3 linked regions of the Ovis aries genome follow. The protein of the gene in region 1 purifies or fractionates together with the protein of each later gene. This does not show direct contact. Links are inferred from orthologs where the notes say so. Each region holds a gene or a part of one and is shown on either strand. Other genes may lie near its edges.

Region 1 (6,511 bases):
ATCATACCCTTGCTCCCTTCCACATCTTTCAGGATCTCTGATACCAAGTAAAAGCTCTTTATAGATCTCAAGACACTTCCATCAATTAATTCATATTGTCAGAGACCCTCTCCTTACCTATAATCCCCAGCACTCCCTCAGTCCCCAGAAATTCCTTTCTTAGGCTTCTCAACCATCCCTCACTTCTTCAGGTCCCTCAGAAATACCCTCAGTCACCATCAGTTTCTCACAGTCTCCCACAGATCTTTTACAGACACCTCAAGTCCTTTCTGACTTCACTCCTCTCCAGGAAGACCATTTTACCTCTTCACACCTCTGAGCATCTCTAGACACCCAGAGGTCCCTCATAGCCACTTACAAACCGCTCTAGCACCCCTCAACAAACGTTCTCATCTCGTACAGACATTCGGATAAGATTCCTTCAGACTGACTCCCTCAGACTCCCACGGACCCCCATATCCTCTGGCGGTTGCACACGTGCGGCCCACTCCGCACTTCCCACGGGTTCTGGCCGTTAAGTAACCGCCACTATTCCGCCCTGTTCTCCTGCCCTTGTAAGCCTTCTTGGTCCAGGTTAGAATTCCCCAGGATTTGGGGTTTGAGTCAGATTTTTGCTTTTGGACTCCGAGCCGCCGTCAGAGGGCAGCAGGAACTGTTTGACTGAGGGATTACTACAACTCCCAGAAGCACCCGCTCTGGACTATGCAGTGATGTAGCCGAATTCATTGCGAAGAGAGCGGAAGTGTGACTGTGCTTTGCCTTCTGGTTAATGTAGTACGAAAGGCTTCAGAGTTACTATCCGTCCTGCCCCAGGAGTCCGCTGGGAATTGCACTCAACTACAGCTTGGACGAGACTTTTTTCAAAGGGCAGGGCAATTAGAGTGATCACAGGATCTGATTAAAGTGAAGCCTAGAACTCCATTTCCCGTCATTCCACGAGGCAGGAGAAGAGGGTGACTTCATTTCAGTTACAAATACTTCCGGAACACACAGACGACACATTCACATGAACTCTTATTTCCCAGCACACACTCACACGAGCTCTGTATACACACACACACACACACTCAAACGAACTCCGTTTCCCAGCGCGCTTTGGACTGCCGTCCTTCCGGGTATTAATCGATAAGTGGTGGCAACATAATGCGAGCACAAAACGCGAGGCTACTCCTAGCAGCTGGCTTCCTTCTTTTGGGCCTTCCAGCATCCTGTAATTTAGGAAGCCTGCGGATTCAAAGAGCTTAATGGGATGTTCAAGATAAATTGTGTTTTCATTTTTTTCAACCTTCAGTTCAGCCTCCAGGTGCAACGTACATTGTTAGGAAAAGCTAGACAATATCCGAAGACTGTATTGTCTTGAAAATCCACCGGAAACTTTGTTTCCTAAATCGTTGGCGGGGAGGGTTTTCCTTCCGGATTTGTGGAAACTTGGGAGTGTTTGCACTCCATTTTCCAGTAGTCCCTGATTGACTTCGGCTCTTTCTTGGGACCTGGCATCAGGAGAGGAGGCGTTGAAACTTTCCGCAGTCTCTTTTAGGCGACTGCCTTTCCCCTTTCGCTCACGCTCTTTCCGGCAAACCTCAGCTGTCTTCTCACAAAGGGTCGGGATCCGGTCTGGACTATTCCCCAGCATGCTTCAGGATTACGGTGGACCCCGCCCCCTCAGTCAATGGTAAGGCCGCCTTGAACTCCATTTCCCAGAAGACACAAGGCTCGCTGTAGCAACTACCCTGAAGCCTCGGTGTTGACTACATTTCCCAGCAGGGATTGCGGCCTAGCGAACGAGGGTGGAGGAATGCTCTGCCTCTCCATTTCCTAGCCTATCTCCGGAACTGCAATATCCACTTGGAGCTTAGGAATCACATGGGACTCCATTTCCCGGCGTGCTTTGGAAGTAGCTTTATACCCGCAATGCGGTGAGGGCGTGGCGACGACTACATTTCCCGGCTTGCCTCACAGCCCGATAGCGGCGGGTCCACCGACTCCGACTCAATTTCCCAGAGTGCACTTGGCACCAGTCGACATACAACCAATAAATTAAGTGAGCGATTGGACTCCGTTTCCCGGAGTGCATCGGACCTATACAGCTCACTGACGGAGTTGCCTGAGACTACATTTCTGAGGCACACCTAGGGACGCGCGGTTGCCGCAATGGAGTGAGTGTGCGACTCTGACTCTGCTTCAGAAAGTGCTTCAGAGTCCGTTGTGGGCAATTGTCCAACTTATTGCCCGGGACTCTATTTTCCGAGGTGCAGCGAGACTCATCATCGCCGCAGCCATCTCTGAGGTCTTTGTGGACTCCATTTCCCAGCGTGCCACGCGGCTCTCTGTGAGGGCCTAGAGCGGCGACGGCGTCGCGTAGGGCCGGCGGACTGCATCTCCCAGCGTGCCCCGCGGCGGGCGCTGGGCCGGAGCCGGAGCCCGAGCGGCGCGGCCTGGAAGAGGCCGGAGCCCGGGGGAGGCGGCGGCGGCGGCAGCGGCGGGGGCAGCCCGGGCAGCCCGAGCCCCGCGGCCTGGGCCTGCGCTCGGCGCCATGAGCGGTGGCGCGCCTTCGGGCGGCGGCCCTGGGGGCTCGGGCCGGGCGCGGACCAGCTCGTTCGCGGAGCCAGGCGGCGGAGGCGGCGGCGGCGGCGGCGGCCCGGGGGGTTCGGCCTCTGGCCCAGGCGGCAGCGGCGGCGGGAAGACGTCAGTCGGAGCCATGGGCGGAGGCGTGGGGGCCTCGAGCTCCGGGGGTGGCCCCAGCGGCAGCGGCGGAGGAGGCAGCGGCGGCCCCGGCGCGGGCACCAGCTTCCCGCCGCCCGGAGTGAAGCTGGGCCGTGAGTACTAGCGGTGCCCGTGGCGGGTGGAGATCGGATCCCTGAAGCCACTCAGACGTCGATCAGGTTCTTCTTTATGCTCAGGGAGGAGCTCGAGGTCACTGTGCCTTCCCAAACTGGGATCTGAGATCTACCCCCTCCCGGAGAGAGGGATTCGGGGGGGTTGCCATCACTTGGAGTGTAGAATTAGAATTAGTAATCCTCCAAAAGACAGGGTCACAGGTTCTTGTTCTTCCAGTCCCGAAGTCTTGGGTCCGTGAACCTTAAAAACAGGAATCTGATGTTGCTATCCATTCGAGAACAGATCAGGGGTCATTGTCGCTTGCAAATGGGGCTCAAGGGTTATTGTTTCTCAAGAGAACACGAATAAGATCACCACCACCCAGAGAAGGGATCTGAATTTGCTCCCCTTTAGAGCATGGGGATTTGAGTATCACTTAGAAGCAGGGATTTGGGCTTGCTGTGGCCTCAAAGCCAGGGCTTTCCAAATCTGATATCCAGATTCCCTTTTAAAACACTATCTGCCCATAATATGTAGAATTGTACACCCAATGGTGGAAATTAATGATTCCTGCTTCTTGAGGACAGATTGGAAGTCAGCATACCTTTCAGACCAAGTTCATAGTCACTAATATTCAAGAAAAGATGTCTTTCTTGAAGGGTTTCCTTTCACAGAAAACGCAATGGGGGCAGGGGCGGTTACCAGTCCCTCCCCTAGAATAAGGATGTGAAGTTATACCCATTTCATTATTCTGATGTATGATGTCATTGACTCTGGATAAATAGCTATATAGGATCCTCTCCCTCACTGGCCCCTCTGAATGGATCTGATTCATCACTGACTTCTTTTCTTTGGGGAACCTTTCACCAGTTACCGCAAGAAGAGGGATCCCTGTCCTCCAAGAATGCCACCAACTTTTGCTGCCATCGCAGAATGTTTTGGGAATTTCCTTTAAAGGACTGAGGCTAGGATAAACCCTTGATGATAGAGATCAGGTTCACCATTCTCACTATTAAGTGTTCGTCCATTAGGGACCAGTTACATACACGATGGGGTCTGGGGCTCTGAACCTCACAGGTGAGGTCAGGCCAGTGCTTTTTTCTAGCCCCAGAGTATTTGGGTAAGAGCTAATTGTCTCCCAAAAGTGAGAGTTAGGGCGCTGGCACTCCCTACGGGAAGAGTCATCCTTTTCTGTCACCAGAAACCAGTGGTGAAGTTACCAGCTGCACTTAGGGAGGACTTAAGAGATCACTGTCCCCCAAGTTGTGGGAAAGGTTAGGGCTTTACTGACATAGAAGTACCTCAGGGTTCCTGCTCTCAAGTGGAAGAGGTTAGGTCAGGCTCTCCCTAGAGAGGAGGGAGCAGAAGGCAGTTAGCTCTCATCATGGATGGATTCAACATCTGGGAGTGGTGGTGCCTCCTCACATCAGGAGGGACCAGTAATTTGCTGCTCACCAGAAGTGGAAATTAGAGGTTACCAACCCTGGCACAGCAAGAGGTTTTATGTGTCAGTATTCTCCCCTGTGGAGGAGTCAGGATTTGGGGTTCCCTGAAGGGAAGAGGGGGAAAGGAGACATCTAGGAGCCACCTTTGAAGATGGGGGAGGGACAAAGACCGTCCCCCGCCCATAAGCTTCCTGTAGAGACTCCCTGCCCTCTCACAGCCCCAGGATGGGGTGGTGGCCCGAGGGAAAAGGTCAGTAGATTGTGTGTTCCCTTTGCTCCCCAGGTGACAGTGGGAAGGTAACCACAGTGGTAGCCACTCTAGGCCAAGGCCCGGAGCGCTCCCAGGAGGTGGCTTACACAGACATCAAAGTGATTGGCAGTGGCTCATTTGGGGTCGTGTACCAGGCACGGCTGGCAGACACCAGGGAATTGGTGGCCATCAAGAAGGTTCTCCAGGACAAGAGGTTCAAGGTAGCTTGCGGGGAACGGGGATCAGGAGGTTTGACTGCACATGACTGGTGGGGGAACTCCAGCAAGAGTGCTGGACTTGGGTTTGTACAGGGGGTCTGAGCATGGGCCAGAGGAGAAGAGAGTGAGCTGTGTGGGGATGTGGATTCCAGGAGAACCCAGAGCTGACTTTTATTGGGCTCTTGTTCTTCGTAAGTGCTTTGTAGGCGAGTTTAACAGCGCAAAGATTCTCTGAGGGTAGGTGCTGTTGTTACTCCTATTCTAAGCAAGCAGAAGCTGGAAACTGAGATTCAGATAAGAGAATTGCACAAGGTCAAGTCTAGAATCTGATTCCCAAGCACTTCACCTTAACCACTGAGTTACTCTGCTACCCAGAAGAGAAAGGAAGCTGGTGGGGCTAATTCTGTCTGCGAAGGTCAGGCTCTGCCCCCAGGGTCTGGCACTTGCTGGGAGAAATCCCGCCTGTGCTGCAGATGCCTGGGTGTGGGGCCCAGGCACCCCTGAGGAAGGGGTCCTTTTCCTCATTCATATATAGTGCCCTGTGAGCTGGTAGAGGCCCTTTGGATCCTGTATAGTCGGGACGTAGGAGAAACTGAGCCTGGGCTGAAGAAACCAGGTCAGAGTTTAGGTCTCGGGCAGTGAGGACTCTCAGGGGCAGGTCTTCCTCCAGGGCGCCGGTCAGAATTTGATTATAGGTAAGTCCCGAAAGTGAGAGGAGTCTGAGGATGGGGGCCTCTGAGGCCCCAGGGGGGAACAGGAGAGGCAAGAGCGCTAAGACTGGTCTTGTGGGAAGAGGCTGAGGCTGGATCTCTACTGGGAAGGTGAGGATGAGAAGCCTGGAGGCCAGGACTCGGGATCCGAGCGCCCAGATGCCTTCCGTGAAAGCATGGAGCGGCGTGGGGACTAGGGGCATCTGGATGACCCCTCCCTGTCTAGTGTTGCTCTTGCCAGGCAGGGAAGTGGGCCTCATGTGGCCACATCATGTGATTTTCAAGAGAAGCTGAAAAACTTAGATTTACATGTGAAGTCATTTGCTTTGTAAATCTGAGCAAAAAATCAAACATTTTTAAGAAGTAGGCTGCAAGAAGCACATGTAAGTGATCTGACTTTAGTTGTGTGTGAGGGGAGCTAGGGGTGAGGAATTAGGGGCTGCTCCATATGGGGCCTTGGAGCTAACGCACGGAGTGGCTGCTTGGCCCTGCCGGCAGGAATGGGAGTAGAGCTGTGGTGAGGGGTGCTCGGGAGGGGAGGCGGGGAGAGTGGCTTGTCTACTGAGGCTCTCTTCCCTTGCCCCCCAAGAACCGAGAGCTGCAGATTATGCGTAAGCTGGACCACTGCAATATCGTGAGGCTGAGATACTTTTTCTACTCCAGTGGGGAGAAGGTGAGACCTGGGTGTGGGGATTCCTCCTCCGCTTGGGCTCCACCCATCTGCCTGCCTTTCTCATGGCTGCTCGTCTCTTCCCTTGTTATTCCCCACACCTTCCTCCCCCTCTTCCTTGCCCATTTCTCATGATGCCTCACACCTCTCCTTTGCTCTCTGCAGAAAGATGAGCTTTACCTAAACCTGGTGCTGGAATACGTGCCCGAGACAGTGTACCGGGTGGCCCGCCATTTTACCAAGGCCAAGTTGAACATCCCTATCATCTATGTCAAGGTAGGCAGGCTGGCGGGCTGCGGGGGTCCCACCCACCAAGTCAGGCGCTCCAGACAGACTCTCCCGTCATTTCCAAGTTTACGTTGGTCTCTAGAGGCCTCACGTGCCTTGCCCTTGTCCCTACA
Region 2 (6,411 bases), on another chromosome or scaffold:
GACAGGATCCAGGCCAGATGTGGCCAGAGCGTCCAAGCGGGGGCTGCCCTGCTCCATGCTCTGGGCCCCCCGGAAAGTCACCTGCAGTCCCACGCAAGGGCCAGCCGCGCCAAAGCTGAGGTCCTGATGGGTCCCTGGAGGGGGACGTGTGCCCCTACCCTCGCCTGGGTCTGTGCGAGATAAGCCAGGCCCGTTCCCCCTCTGTTCATCTCCAGAACCACCTCTGCCCAGGTGTGAACCAGGAAGACGCCAGCCCGGCCCAAGGCCTGTGGTCTGTCACTGGCACGGTCCCAGCCCTGAGCCCTGCTCCCTTCCCTGCAAACCAAGTCATTCCGGGCTGCAGGGGGCCTGCTCTGAAGGGCGGGGGTCTCGGGCCCGGGAGGTGGGCTCACCCATCAGGCCACTTGCTAAGGGATGCTAAAGTTCTCGCACTCCCTCCCTCGCTCGGGGGGGCACTGGGGCGGTAGCTTCTGCGCCCCAGCTGGGCTCCTCTCTGACCCGTGCCCCCTGACTGCTCCCCGCTCCTCGTCCTGGCCCTGCACATGGCACCCAGGACACAGCTGGACACAACCCGCATACTCCTCTGGGATGGAGGCAGCCGACAAGGCCAGCTAGGGCTCTGGATGAACCAGACAAGGCAAGAGAAAAGTAACCAAGGACGCCTGGGGCTGGCACGCCAGGGGCGGGGTCTGCACCCTGTAGGTGGGGAGAGGCCTGGGGGGACGGCAGGGCGTCTTCCCCAGGTCCTGGCAGGAAGAGTGGGCAGCCCTGTGCCCCCACACCCACCCACAGGTCCTGCCCTTTGTCCGCTTCAGGCCACCCTGCCTCACACTACCTGGGACCCAGAGCTGAGGGGGCACGATGCCACGTGTCATGGGTGGCAGTCTCTCCCGGACCTGCCCAAGGGCCGCCTTTCAGCCTCCTCATCAGTCTGTCCGACCCCTCTGTTCTCCCCACGCTCTCCCTTTCAGGCTCCTGCCCGGCTCTTCTGAAAAAGCCAGCTGTCCCCTGGCTCCTGAGTCCACTTCTCCTGCTAGAGAAAGCCCGCCCAGCCCTGTGCTATCTCTAGGAGGGGCAGGGGTGGGGGAGTCGGAGGAAAGGAGACAGAGCAAAGCCCCAGGTTGCCCGCCCACCTGGCCCCTGCAGGTCTGGGGGCTGAGAGGTGACCCTGGCTCTTGGTTCTGAGCAAACCGACTCTGGAGCAGAGGAAAGCCACAGGATGCTTACCGGTAGTTTCCCTTTTTGCTGAGCTGCTCCTTAAAGTGGCCCAAGGTCAGGCTCTGGGCCTTCAGCATCCGCCGGTAGGGGATCTCCTCCCCGCAGAAGAAGTAAGTGACCACCAGCTCACTGGCCTGGAGCGCGTGCATCCCTGCCAGCTTCCTGGGCTCCTTGTGGCTGAAAATGAGATGGAAAAGCCACAGGTCCAGCATTTGAAAGCGGTCAGAGCGCACACACCCCCAGGAGGTCTGCAAACTGTATCTTCAGAGGTGAGGCTGTAGCTGTGTGTGCCGAGGGCCCTGGGCAAGGTCATCAGTGCAGGGCACACAGGTGTGTGTGTGCCGCCCAATGGGAGGACGGAGCCATGTCCATTGGGGGGCATCACAGGGAACTTGCCTCCAAAGATAGGAACCCTCCCAGAGTGACCAGGACACCACACTCGCCCCAGCCAGGGTCTGTGGTTTCTGCCTCTGCCCAGGGATGGCGTGAACTCGGAACGCCAGGGCCCATGGTGGGGGTGTGTGGGGATCAGCCCTCAGTCACTGCAACTTCTGAGTTTTTGCAGAATGGCTAAAAAAAGCGCAATAGGCCCAAACACCTGGTCAACTTAAGGTCAACCAATTAAAACACTGTAGAGGTTTTTTTCTCTCTTTGAACACTACTCATGATAGAGCAGCTAAGGACGGACAGGTGAATGATTTCAACCACTTCAGATCTCAGCAGCTGACCACTCTTTTCACACACCGTCCCGGAACCAAAAGAAGCCTGGCTTCCCTGTCCGGTCACAGGAGCGTAACTTGACAACAGGAACTGGGGCATCGGCGGGGAGATGCTTTTCCCGCCACTCCCAACACCGGCCCCTGCAAGACAGCAAGGATGGGCCCTTCGTCTGTCTCTGCAACCGGGGAGAAGCGCCTTCCTGCTCAGTTCCACGCAAACGTTTTCAACCCATTAGCCTTCCAGGTGGATGGGAACAGCTTTTCCATCTGTGTTTGGGGTTCTCTAACCAGAAGCTAAAGGCTTCGCTCTCAGCTTGTGACCTTGAGCCAACCACCACTTCACGAAGAGGACACCCGCGTGTTACTACGAGTCACCATGCGTTCCTCTTGGACAGGGGTTTTCCAGACTCTGATCTATGGCACCATCTGGGTTTACAATTCCTTGTCTTGGATGTTAAAATCAAGATGATTTTATAGACTAAAAAAGTTTTCAAAAATTGCAACCCCTGACATGAATACCCTGAAAACACAAAGCCTCTGGGCAGACCTCAGCGTCACCAGGCCAAGACACTCACTCTTCCAAAGCTGGGCTTGGGCTGGAGAAGGGCGCGGCGCCCGGCATCCCAGGGCCCGGGTGGCTCCTGTCCTTCTGCTGGCCAGCCGCACAGCACCTAACACAGGAAAGGTTGAGAGGGATCCCTGGGGCCAAGAGAAAGCAGAGAGCCAGCCTCCCCTGCTTCCGACGTCCCCCGGGCGGAGCCCCACCCTGGCCTTGTGTGGACAGGAACTCCCAGGGCCAGGAAAGGTTGAGAGGGATCCCTGGGGCCAAGGGAAAACAGAGAGCCAGCCTCCCCGGCTTCCAACGCCCCCTGGGCGGAGTCCCACCCAGGCCTTGTGTGGACAGGAGCCCCCGGGCCTGGCCCAGCCATGCTGAGCCCTGGGCCCCCGGGACTACACGCGGCCCACCCAGGCCGAGGGCTGCAGGTACTGGATCCCCAGCGGGTCACAGCGCCTTGGAGCTCATCTCACAACCCCCACTGACTGGGACACTCAAGGAATGGGATTTGCAAGGAATTTCAGAGATTCCTTCTCTTTCTTGCAGGCACGACTGGCCAGATCCCAGTGAGCCTGTCAGAGCAGCTGGACCTCAAGGCATGGGTCCTCTGGCCTGCCCCGCCCCTGACTGCTGCAGCCTGTCTACTCACCGCTGCTTTGGGGGCTTGGACACTTCAGCCAGCCGGCGGCACGCCTCCTCCAGCTGGGCCAGGGTGTTAGGTGGGGTCAGGGGAGGCACCGCGGAGTCCTGGGTGCAAGCTGGGTGGGCCCGAGGAACAGTGCGGGGGTGCCCAGTGCCGCCCCCCCACAGGTGGTGGCGGCCGGCCCGCTCTGCTGGGGACATGCGGGCCGACTCCGTGGGGTAGGCCCGCTTGGTGCTCTGGGCGCTGGAGGAGAAAGGTGGAGAGAGGAAACCGAGGGTAAGAAATGCGGTTAGGAAAACTGGAAAATGTGACTCCACCAGCGAGCTCTCCATCCTGCCTCCGGAGAGCAAAAAGAAAAAAAAGATAGCTGGGCCATACCACCACCTGGCGCTGCCAGGACGCGGCACTTCTGCGGTCTCAGCGCAGCTGCTGGCGCTGGGAGGGCGGCAACCCCCGCCCCCTCGCTCCGGCCACCCGGACAGCCTACCCCCACGCCCCGGGGCGGGCCGCGCCGCGGTTCACCTGTGGGGCTTGGGCTTGCCGGGCCGCTCGCTCTCCAGCACCCACTGCCACACGACCTGAGCCCTGTCTCCTTCCTCCCCAGGCGGCTGCAGGGACCCCGCTCCTCCGGGAGCCCCGGCTTCCCTGGCCGGCACCGTGGGGCCCGGCTCGGAGCCTCTCGCGCTTCGTCTGGGGGGGACGCCGCCCCGGCTGCTGGTGGGACAGAGGAGCGCGTCCATCTCAGCCCCCGCGAGCGCCGCCGCAGCCCCGCCCCTCCCTGCCGCCGCCCCACCCTCGCACAGGGTCGCTCACCCAAGCTGGGCGGCCCCCGGGGGCTCGGGGACCCCGGGGTGGCTCTTGCACTTGGCGCAGCAGGAGAAGTCGGCGCCCGCGGGGACCGGGCAGGGGCAGCGCGCACGTGGGGCGGCCTCGGCCTCCGCCTCGTCCCTGGTCCGGGGGCCTGCGTGGTGGTGGATGTAGTGGTGGTGGACGTGCTTTGTGGCCTGCCTGCTCACGAAGCCCCTGGCCCCGAGGAGGGAGCAGCTGGCCGGGACGGCGGCGGGGGGCAGGGGGCCCCCGGGCGGGGGCAGCGCGCGGTGCGGCTGGAGGTGGTGGCGGTGGTGGTGGTCGGGGGAGCGCGCGCGGGGGCTGTAGCGGCCCACGCCCGGGGACTGGCAGCCGGGGGTCTTGAGGACCCTGGACAGGTGGTCGTCCAGGATGGTCTGCGGGTCCTCCTCGTAGCTGCTAGACGGCAGGAGGCAAAGGGGGTGCGGCGCGGGCCCTGCCTCCCGTGAGCCCGGTGCCAACTCCGTGCCCTCCTTTTCCTCATCCTGGAAAGGAAGGCAGCGTTGGTTGGGGGAGGTGGCCCGGTCAGCAGGAGCCCCCTCCCCCGCTAATACGGGGGCAGGGGCGGCATGGCGCCCACCTCTTGGATCTGCTGCAGCCGCTCCTCCAGGCTGTGCCGCGTCTCCAGCTCCAGCTTCAGCTTCTCCAGCCGGGCGATGAGCTCGGCCGCGAAGGCGGCAGGCTCCACGGGGGTCATCTCCTTGGGCAGCCGGTGGGTTCTCTGCGGGGCGCGGGAAGGAGACGGGATGCTTGCCGTCAGGAGGCTGCCAGGGCCGGGGAACGGGTGTCGGGATGCGGCCAGGTCCACAGCCGCGCGGAGACTGGGCGGAGCGGGGCCTGGGTGGCATGGCCGCTTTATGTGCCGGCACCGCGGCCTCATGGAGAGCCACGGTCCCCGGCCGTGCGCCGTGGGCACAAGCAGTTGGTCGCACTCCCAGAGGCCGCGCGCGCTCCCTCTGTAGTACAACCAGCCCATCAGTCGCTACTCTGAAGTTGAAAATCTTCAAAGACTGTTGTCAAACATCAAAAAAAAAAAAAAAAAAAAAAAAAAAGGCAGCTCTCTGCAATGGGGAGGGGAGAGCGCAACTCAAGGAATAAAAAGTATGAGCCTAAACAGAAAGGGAGTTGGGAATGTGAAAAAATAAGATTGGAAGGGAGGTAGGGGGGAGCAAAAGAAAAAAAAAGGAGTCACAGGGCCCAGATCAGAAGCAGCGGCAATTTCTTCCCTGGCCGCACACTGTGCACCTTTGAGGCGGTGTTGTCTAACACTGCACCCACCCCCTCGTTCTGGCCCACCCCTCCTGCCATCTCTTTGTACAGAAAATGAAGAAAGCTGCTGCAGGCTAGTAGCAGAACACTGCTGAGCTTGGCTGCCTGAAGCTGATCTATCAAGGGAAAAGGGAACATCTCCAAGTCAAGCACAGAATATAAAAAGGCACCAGAACACTGCCAAGAGCAGCCGACAGAGAACCCCCGCCGCCGGCCCTCTGTCCCCTCCTGTCGTCCTGAGCCCCCCACTCCCACCCCTGGTCCTTCTGCCTCCTCCCCCCACTTCCCTCCTGCTTTGGCCCTTTTCTTGAGGGGGAGGAGGGCAACAGAAAGCCAACCTGCAGAGGCCAGCATCTCCCCACCTCAGCAAAGAACTGAGCCTCACCACGGCAACCGCTGAGCCACAGGACCCCAGGAGGGGTGGGCCCATCTGGAGGCAGCTGCCATTCTCCCCCAGGCTGGCTCCATGCAGGCCCCCCACACCCCAGCAAAGTGCCGCCTGCTGAAGAAGACCGGTTTGCACTCCCCAGGACAAAAATCACGTAATTTAAGCCTGGGCAACAGAACTTTTCTTAAAAGCACAAAACTCCCCCAGCACCCTGGCTCTACCAAATCAAAACATATACATCTCATGGATACTGTTGTACTGGGGTGAAGAGACGGTGGTTGAGAAGGGGGGTGCTAGAGGTCCCCAGAAAAGCCATCTTCATCGGCTATTTTCACAAATCTGAGTGCCCTGGATTGTTCCAGGAGCTTTGGAGAGGAGTTGCAACAGTCTGAACACACCAATGCAACGTGGGACCAGCAATTCGATGAGCTCATTTTCTGCATGCGACATAACCAGTGGGCCAGTTGGGTTCTCTGCGGCTGGCAGGAAGGACTCAGAAACAGATGCTGCTCTGAGCTGGGCACTCTCTTCCCTTCCCCAGGGAGCAGTTGGACGGGGTAGGGTGGCCCCCTGCGGGGCCGGGGGCTGGCTGCCCTCCAGGACCTGGAAATCATCAGGGACGTCCCTGAAAAGCCCTCCACACCCCGCTGGCCTCTCGTCTCAAGCAGGAAGAAGCGCTCATGGATCCTCAAACACTGACTGCAGATTCAACAGGCAGGTACTAAGCCATGTTCTGCGGCTAGAAACAGGAGGGATAACCGATCTCCAGGGC
Region 3 (6,511 bases), on another chromosome or scaffold:
TGAAGAAGGGGGTTGTATTACGTGAACCCTATAGTTGAATCTAGCCTTAACCATCTTTACAAGAAGCCAGCATGGTTTGGACAGTAGCATTGAATCACAGCCAACTTGATCCTGGATTGCTCCTAACTCCTTGACCTCCAGGAATACCACCCAGGTTAAGAAGCAAGGACCTTAGGGGTAGAAGCAATACCAGGGGAATTTGACACCTGATCAGTTTCCTCTTGCTCAGTGCCTGGAGGTGATAGCCCACTGCATTATTGGAGCCCGCCCCCCATCCCTCTTCAGTTTGTATTAGAGCCTCCAGAGTCACCATTCCCTTGCTAGGTAGCACGTGACTGACTCCCCCACAACCCTTTCTGGGGAGGTTGAGGGAGATGGCTGCCTTGGTGTACTCTGCAGTTACCATTAGGGTCTGTGTGTGCATTTGGAGGGAGAGAATGAGGAGGTATAAACAAAAGGCATTGAGTCCAAAAGGGAGTTAGGAAATCAGGGTTCTAAATCAAACAGCATTCTATCTGGAAAGCACTCTTCGGGTCATGGTGTGCCTTTGTTTCACGACAAACCAAGGATCCAGTTGATTGGCTACCAAGGGACAGTCCTGGGAAGGAAGGGGTAGGGACTAGACTATTTTATCTCCAGGATGTGCCAGGCACAAGGAACTTGTTTCCTTATCATCTCATTTCTCATCTTTTATACAAATGGGGCAACTGAAGCCCATAGAGGTTAAGCAACTTGTCCAAGGTTCCCATTTAATAAGGGGACTTGAACTCTGGATGTCCTGTTGTCCAGCATGGCTTCTTCCTGGAGGAAACAGACTGAAGTAACTGAGAACCAGAGGGATAGAGATGGGCTGTTGGGGAGAAACAGGGAGTAAATGTGCCAAGGGCAAAGAGAGGAGTCCCTTCATACCTGCCATCCCACCCCCAAGCAGCTTTCCCACTGCACATTTGCACCCTGAGTACCCCCTAACCAAGAGCTGACCCCAGCTCTTAAAGGGCCACCTTGTGGAACAAGTCCACTTAATAACCACAGTAGAAAGAAAAAAGCGATAAGCTTCCCAATCTGCAGTGACTGACTGATCTGATGTCCTTTGCTAATACAGTCAGGGGCAGCTTCTCCAGCACTGACTAGTAATCCAGAAGCTCTAAGGTTTTAGTGAATGGGACTGGTCCAAATCCTGACCTCACTTTCATTTAATTTCATGCCAGCACCAATACACACCCAGCCGGCGCAGACCCTAACTAGGGAGCTGCTCAGACACAAAGGCGCTCTAATTACCATCCACAAGCCAGGCCTGACAAGGATTTCAAGTGTTTTCATGTTTATGGAGATCAGAGAAATGTGTTCTGTGCATCTTTCCCACCGCTGACAAGTATAAAATAAAACCAAACAAAAAAACCAACACATTTATTAAAAACAGATATTTCAGTTAAGTTAACATCCTATAATCAGGATAGCCACAATTCCAGACACTCCGGTGCGAAGTGTAGGTATGTCAATAGCCACATCTGGATGACGAACATGCCATTGAATCTTATACAACTAAAACATCAACAATACCGTCTTAGAGCCTTTAGACTGCGTTAACATTGTTACGAGCACTTCACCAGGTTCACAATGGCAAATTCTGCAGCTTCTCCATTCGGAGGGTCACATTTTTTTACTCGGTTTCCTTCACTTACAAAGGCAAGCTGGCACGGCTGGGGGGAGGGGCAGAAGGAGGAAATCAACTCCATCTATCCAGGGAATTGCAGCTGTTATTGCAAATGGCCCCGGAGAGCCCATTATAAGCTGCTGCGCTAGGCTGTGTGTCCCTGGAGTGCCCCATCACGTGGTGTCTCCCAGCCCCCAGCCTGGGCCCCCAGGAGCGGCAGCGCCACCAGCTAGAGTTGGACAGCACAGCGGAGGGGAAGAGGAGGGACTCGAGGCCAGTTCTCCGGGCAGTTTCCGTCAAAGTCCAGGGCGCGGCCGCCCGCAGGAGGCACCGGCGCCTAGCACGTCGCCACCTCCCTCAACCCGCGGTGGCAGCGGTGCCCGTGTCCTCAGAAGACTCCAGCACTTGCAAAACACCGCGTACTACTCCGAGTACAGGCAGAACCGGGTGACTCTGCCCTGCTAGAGCCCCGCAATCTCGTTTGCGCCCAGGAAATGGTGACCTTGAACCCGAGGAGGGGCGGACAGACGGTGAAAATACACATTCAAGAGGACCGCGGGTTCGCTCCGCGCCGCGCCCTCACCTTTCCCCAGGACCTCTCACCCCCACGTCCAATTAGCATCCCAGGTGCTCCGCCTTCCCCCGCCGCTCTGAGAAACGCTGACAGTCGCAAAGCGGGTGGGGTGGGGGTTCGCAGAGAAAAGGTTACTTCTATTCAGTTCTCCAAAATGTCCTTTCACGGTGCCGCGTGTTTTATACCAAGTACAAGCACCTCAAAATACACGAGATAGGTGTTTTGTTTTTTTTTAAAGTGTCGTAAAATTTCAAGTCTGGCAGTTTGAGGTACTCCCTTAAATGATCTACAAATGTTCCCCTCTCCTAAAGTGAATCAGGAACCAGCCTTGGAAAGGTAAAGCAAGTAACTGGGGTCATCCTTGGCCTTTGGGCGCTCCGCGATCCTGTGAAGCATGGACTCCGGCCACGTGGTTGCCAGGTTAGAGTACCCGAGAGGCTGCGTGGAACCGCACGCTGCGCCACCAGGGCTGGTCACACCAGTGAGGAGTCCTACTGACTGCGAGCTTGGGGTGCACTCTGTAATCTGCCTTCAGTGGCACCAACGAAGTCAACCACGTCGGGGCCCTAGACCTCAGTTCCCGCGAACACATTCTCAATTTTTCGATTCCTCATCTTCATATAAGGTATTTTCCCGCTTCCGGAAGTGCGACTTCACCAGTTTGAGTAGAGATATAGCCCTCAGGGGAACCCCTTGCCCTTCAGGCAGAGGCTCGCGCAGTGGCCACTCTCGAGGTGTTAGCTGCCAGGGACTAGAACGCTGTCGCCTGTTCTGAGCTGCGCCCTCCTCCCGGACGCGCCGGGGTCGCTGCAGGCCGCGCGAGGGCTGCGGGGCGAAGGGGGCTCATGCACTGGGGCCGACAGAGGGCCCAGGAGCTGGCGCTGGGGGAGCTTTGCGTGCAACTGCAGCCGTCGCGAATGAAGCCTCCGCACCGCCTCCTTGATGAGGTTTCCCGAGAGCACGAGCTGCTGCAGGAGCCGGTGCGGGTCGTCGTCGCCGTTGCGGGCTGTAGGCTGTAGCCCGCGTCGGTGCTGGAGGCGGCGGGAGGCAGCGGCGTCCCGCAGCCAACCTCGCCGGCAAGGGCCCGACAGGGGCTGCGGGGAACCCCGTTTGTCTGCTCCCAAAGGCCCGTCAAGGCTGGGCTGAGGGGGCAATGGGGACAGCGCGCTGGGGCCTGCGGCGAGCTCCGCCACAAAGTAGGGCGCAGCCCGGCCCCGCACGCGGCCGCGGTCCCCGAGGGCGCAGCGCAAGGCCCCCGGGGGCGCCGGGCCCCCAGCCTCGACCGACGCGGCCGGTAGAAGCAGCGGCTGCGCTGGGGCCCGGGCCTTGTCCGCTCTCACCGCCGCCGGGGGCCGCGGGGGCTGCAGTGGCGGCCCCGGGGGCGCGCACGCGGAGGCAGGGCGGTCCTGCGCCGCGTCCAGCTGCAGCGTCTCGCCGATCTGGGCCACCAGCCGGTCCACCTCAACCGAGCCGCCCACAGTCACCGACTGTTCCAGCAGTAGGAAGCTGTCCTCCTCCTCCTCCTCTTCCTCGCCGGCTTCCTCTTCCTCCTCCCTCCGGCACGGCATGGCCCCCGGCGCCGGCACCCGGAGCTGTGCGGGGGTCGCTGGCGGCTCGGCTGTCCCGGGGGCTCGGTGGGCCGCGGCGAAGCCGGGCGCGGTGCCGAGGCCAAAGCCGGAGCCCGGGCGGACGCGGAAGCCGGAGCCCGCCAGGCACTCGCGCCGCGCGCCTGCAGCCGCGGGAGCCGGAATCCTACCGGCTCGGGTTGATTTGTAAACAATGGGTGACGTAGCCGCCGGGCCCTACCACCGGGCCGAGGAGGGGTGCTCCGTGCATTTGGGGGCCCGGGCAACCTCTGGGCAAGAGTCGTGGGTGAAGCCTTGCTCCCTCTGAGCTTTACAGCCCTGATTGCTGTCTGCGGGGGGAACTGGGGAGCCGATCTTCGCTCTCTGAGCCTGGCATGATTGACATATCCAGAAGATGGACACCGGCGTGGCCTCTGTTGGTTTCTTCCACACACAAGCACAGACACTTACACCCACACACCCACACACTTCTCTAGGCGCGTCAACGTGTCTGGTTTTGGCATTTACGCTTTTGAGGTTAGGGATGCCGGCATTTGGGAAGTGATGGCAGCGTGAGTGAGGCGAGTGATGGAGAGAAGGCGTCAGGCTAGGGATCTGTCTGGAGATTAGGGAAACGAGGCTGACAGATGAAAAGGAAGGGGACCCTGTGGTGCGATGGGGGTGGCGGATTGGAAATTGGCAAAGAAAAGCCACTGATTCGTGTTTTTTTGATCGGGAGCGTGGGTATGTGGGGACCTGGACAGTTACTGTAGAGGAGGTTGCTCGTCTTGGGGGGAGCGGCGAGCTAGAAAGTTCTTTTAAGAAGAATGACTCAACCCAGTAGGGGAGTATCCTTTCTGAAATGGGTAGCAGGAGAGGAAAACGGTCAGCTATTTGGATGGAAATGGAGACACGGCCATGGTAACCCTCCAAGATATCCTGGTTGGTTTAATGATTAACCAAGACTTCATTTTTTAAAAGAAAGAGAGATAGAGAACGATTCTTTATCATCGTATTGTTTGGAGTTTTAAAACCTGTATTAAAAATCCCAAACCCCTCAGGCCTAACTTCTGAACATTAATTACCCTTGTAGGTAGATTTTTGGTGGACCAACCTTTATAGGGGAGGGATAATAGCAGGGTGATTGAAATATTCCAAAATGGGATTATGGTAATGGTTGCACAACTCGGTAAATTTTCTAAAAATCATTTATTGAAAAAAATTTTATTTTTAATTTAATCATTGACTCAATGGACATGAGTTTGAGCAAATTCCAGGAGACAGTGAAGGGCAGGGAAGCCTGGTGTTCTGGAGTTCATGGGGTTGCAACGAGTTGGACATAACTTAGCGACTGAACAATTTCTTAGTGAAGAATAATTGCTTTACAATATTGTGTTGGTTTCTACCATACATCAACATGAGTCATCCATGGAGTGAGTGGAGTGAAGTCGCTCAGTCGTGTCCGACTCGCGACACCATGGACTGTAGCCTACCAGGCTCCTCCATCCATGGGATTTTCCAGGCAAGAGTACTGGAGTGGATTGCCATTGCCTTCTCCGTTTGAACCGGGGTCTCCCGCATTGTAGGCAGACGCTTTACCATCTGAGCCACCCATATGTCCCTTCCCTCTTGAACCTCCCTCCCGCTTCCCACCCCATCTCACTGCTCTACATTATCACAGAGTGATTTGAGTTCCCTGGGTCCTACAGCAAATTCCCAATGGCTGTTTTATATCTGGTAATGTATGTTTTCACGCTACTCTCTCCATTTGTCCCACTCTCTCCTTACTCCATGGGTCCAAAGTCTGTTCTCTATGTATGCGTTTCCATTGCTGCCCTACAAATAGATTCATCAGTACCATTTTTCTAGATTCCATATGTATGTGTTAATATACAATATTTATTTTTCTCTTTCTGACTTACTTCACTTTTTATAATAGGCTTTAGGTTCGTCCGCCTCATTAGAATGGACTCAAATGCGTTCCTTTTTATAGGTGAGTAATATTCCATTGTGTGTGCAATCCACAACTTCTTTATTCATTCGTCTGTCAGTGGACACTTAGATTGCTTCTGTGTTGCTTCCATGTCCTAGCTATTGTAAATAGTGCTGCAGTGAACGTTGGGGTACATGTATGTTTTTCAGTTATGGTTTCCTCGGGATATATGCCCAGTAGTGGGATTGCTGGGTCATATGGTAGTTTTATTCCTAGTCTTTTAAGGAATCTCCGTACTGTTCTATTAGTGGGTGTATCAATTTTCATTCCCACCAACAGTGCAAGAGGTTTCCCTTTTCTCCACACCCTCTTCAGCTTTTATTGTTTGTAAACTTTTAAATGATGGCCATTCTGACCGCTGTGAGGTGATACCTCATGGTAGTTTTGATTTGCTTTTCTCTAATAATGAGTGATGCTGAGTATCTTTTCATGTGTTTTTTAGCCATCTGTGTGTCTTTGGAGAAATGTCTGTTTAGGTCTTCTGCCCACTCTTTGATTGGGTTTCCCTGGTGGTTCAGAAGGTAAAGCATCTGTCTGCAATGCAGGAGACCCAGGTTCAAGCCCTGGGTTGGGAAGATCCCTTGGAGAAAGAAATGGCAGCCCACTCCAGTATTCTTGCCTGGAAGAGTCGGACACAACTGAGCGACTTCACTTCAGCTTTTTCATTAGGTTGTATGTTTTTCTGGCATTGAGTTGCATGAGCTGCTTGCATATTTTGGAGATTA

The links.
Region 2: the proteins of GSK3A (region 1) and AXIN2 purify together in Homo sapiens (affinity purification with mass spectrometry; 3 studies listed by BioGRID and IntAct, with this or other methods). This does not show direct contact. The link is inferred for Ovis aries from reciprocal best matches to the Homo sapiens genes GSK3A and AXIN2.
Region 3: the proteins of GSK3A (region 1) and FRAT1 purify together in Homo sapiens (affinity purification with mass spectrometry; 4 studies listed by BioGRID and IntAct, with this or other methods). This does not show direct contact. The link is inferred for Ovis aries from reciprocal best matches to the Homo sapiens genes GSK3A and FRAT1.

What each region holds. Positions count from the first base shown.
Region 1 is NC_056067.1:50,611,633-50,618,143, forward strand, and holds the start of GSK3A (glycogen synthase kinase-3 alpha), read left to right. Parts: upstream 1-2,405; 5' UTR 2,406-2,533; coding exon 2,534-2,816; intron 2,817-4,545; coding exon 4,546-4,733; intron 4,734-6,029; coding exon 6,030-6,113; intron 6,114-6,275; coding exon 6,276-6,386; intron 6,387-6,511. UniProt on the Homo sapiens protein: Constitutively active protein kinase that acts as a negative regulator in the hormonal control of glucose homeostasis, Wnt signaling and regulation of transcription factors and microtubules, by phosphorylating and inactivating glycogen synthase (GYS1 or GYS2), CTNNB1/beta-catenin, APC and AXIN1.
Region 2 is NC_056064.1:61,410,523-61,416,933, forward strand, and holds part of AXIN2 (axin-2), read right to left. Parts: intron 4,704-6,411; coding exon 4,563-4,703; intron 4,468-4,562; coding exon 3,950-4,467; intron 3,851-3,949; coding exon 3,659-3,850; intron 3,380-3,658; coding exon 3,143-3,379; intron 2,609-3,142; coding exon 2,513-2,608; intron 1,396-2,512; coding exon 1,228-1,395; intron 1-1,227. UniProt on the Homo sapiens protein: Inhibitor of the Wnt signaling pathway. Down-regulates beta-catenin. Probably facilitate the phosphorylation of beta-catenin and APC by GSK3B.
Region 3 is NC_056075.1:18,394,290-18,400,800, reverse strand, and holds FRAT1 (proto-oncogene FRAT1), read right to left. Parts: upstream 3,975-6,511; 5' UTR 3,797-3,974; coding exon 2,966-3,796; 3' UTR 1,393-2,965; downstream 1-1,392. UniProt on the Homo sapiens protein: Positively regulates the Wnt signaling pathway by stabilizing beta-catenin through the association with GSK-3. May play a role in tumor progression and collaborate with PIM1 and MYC in lymphomagenesis.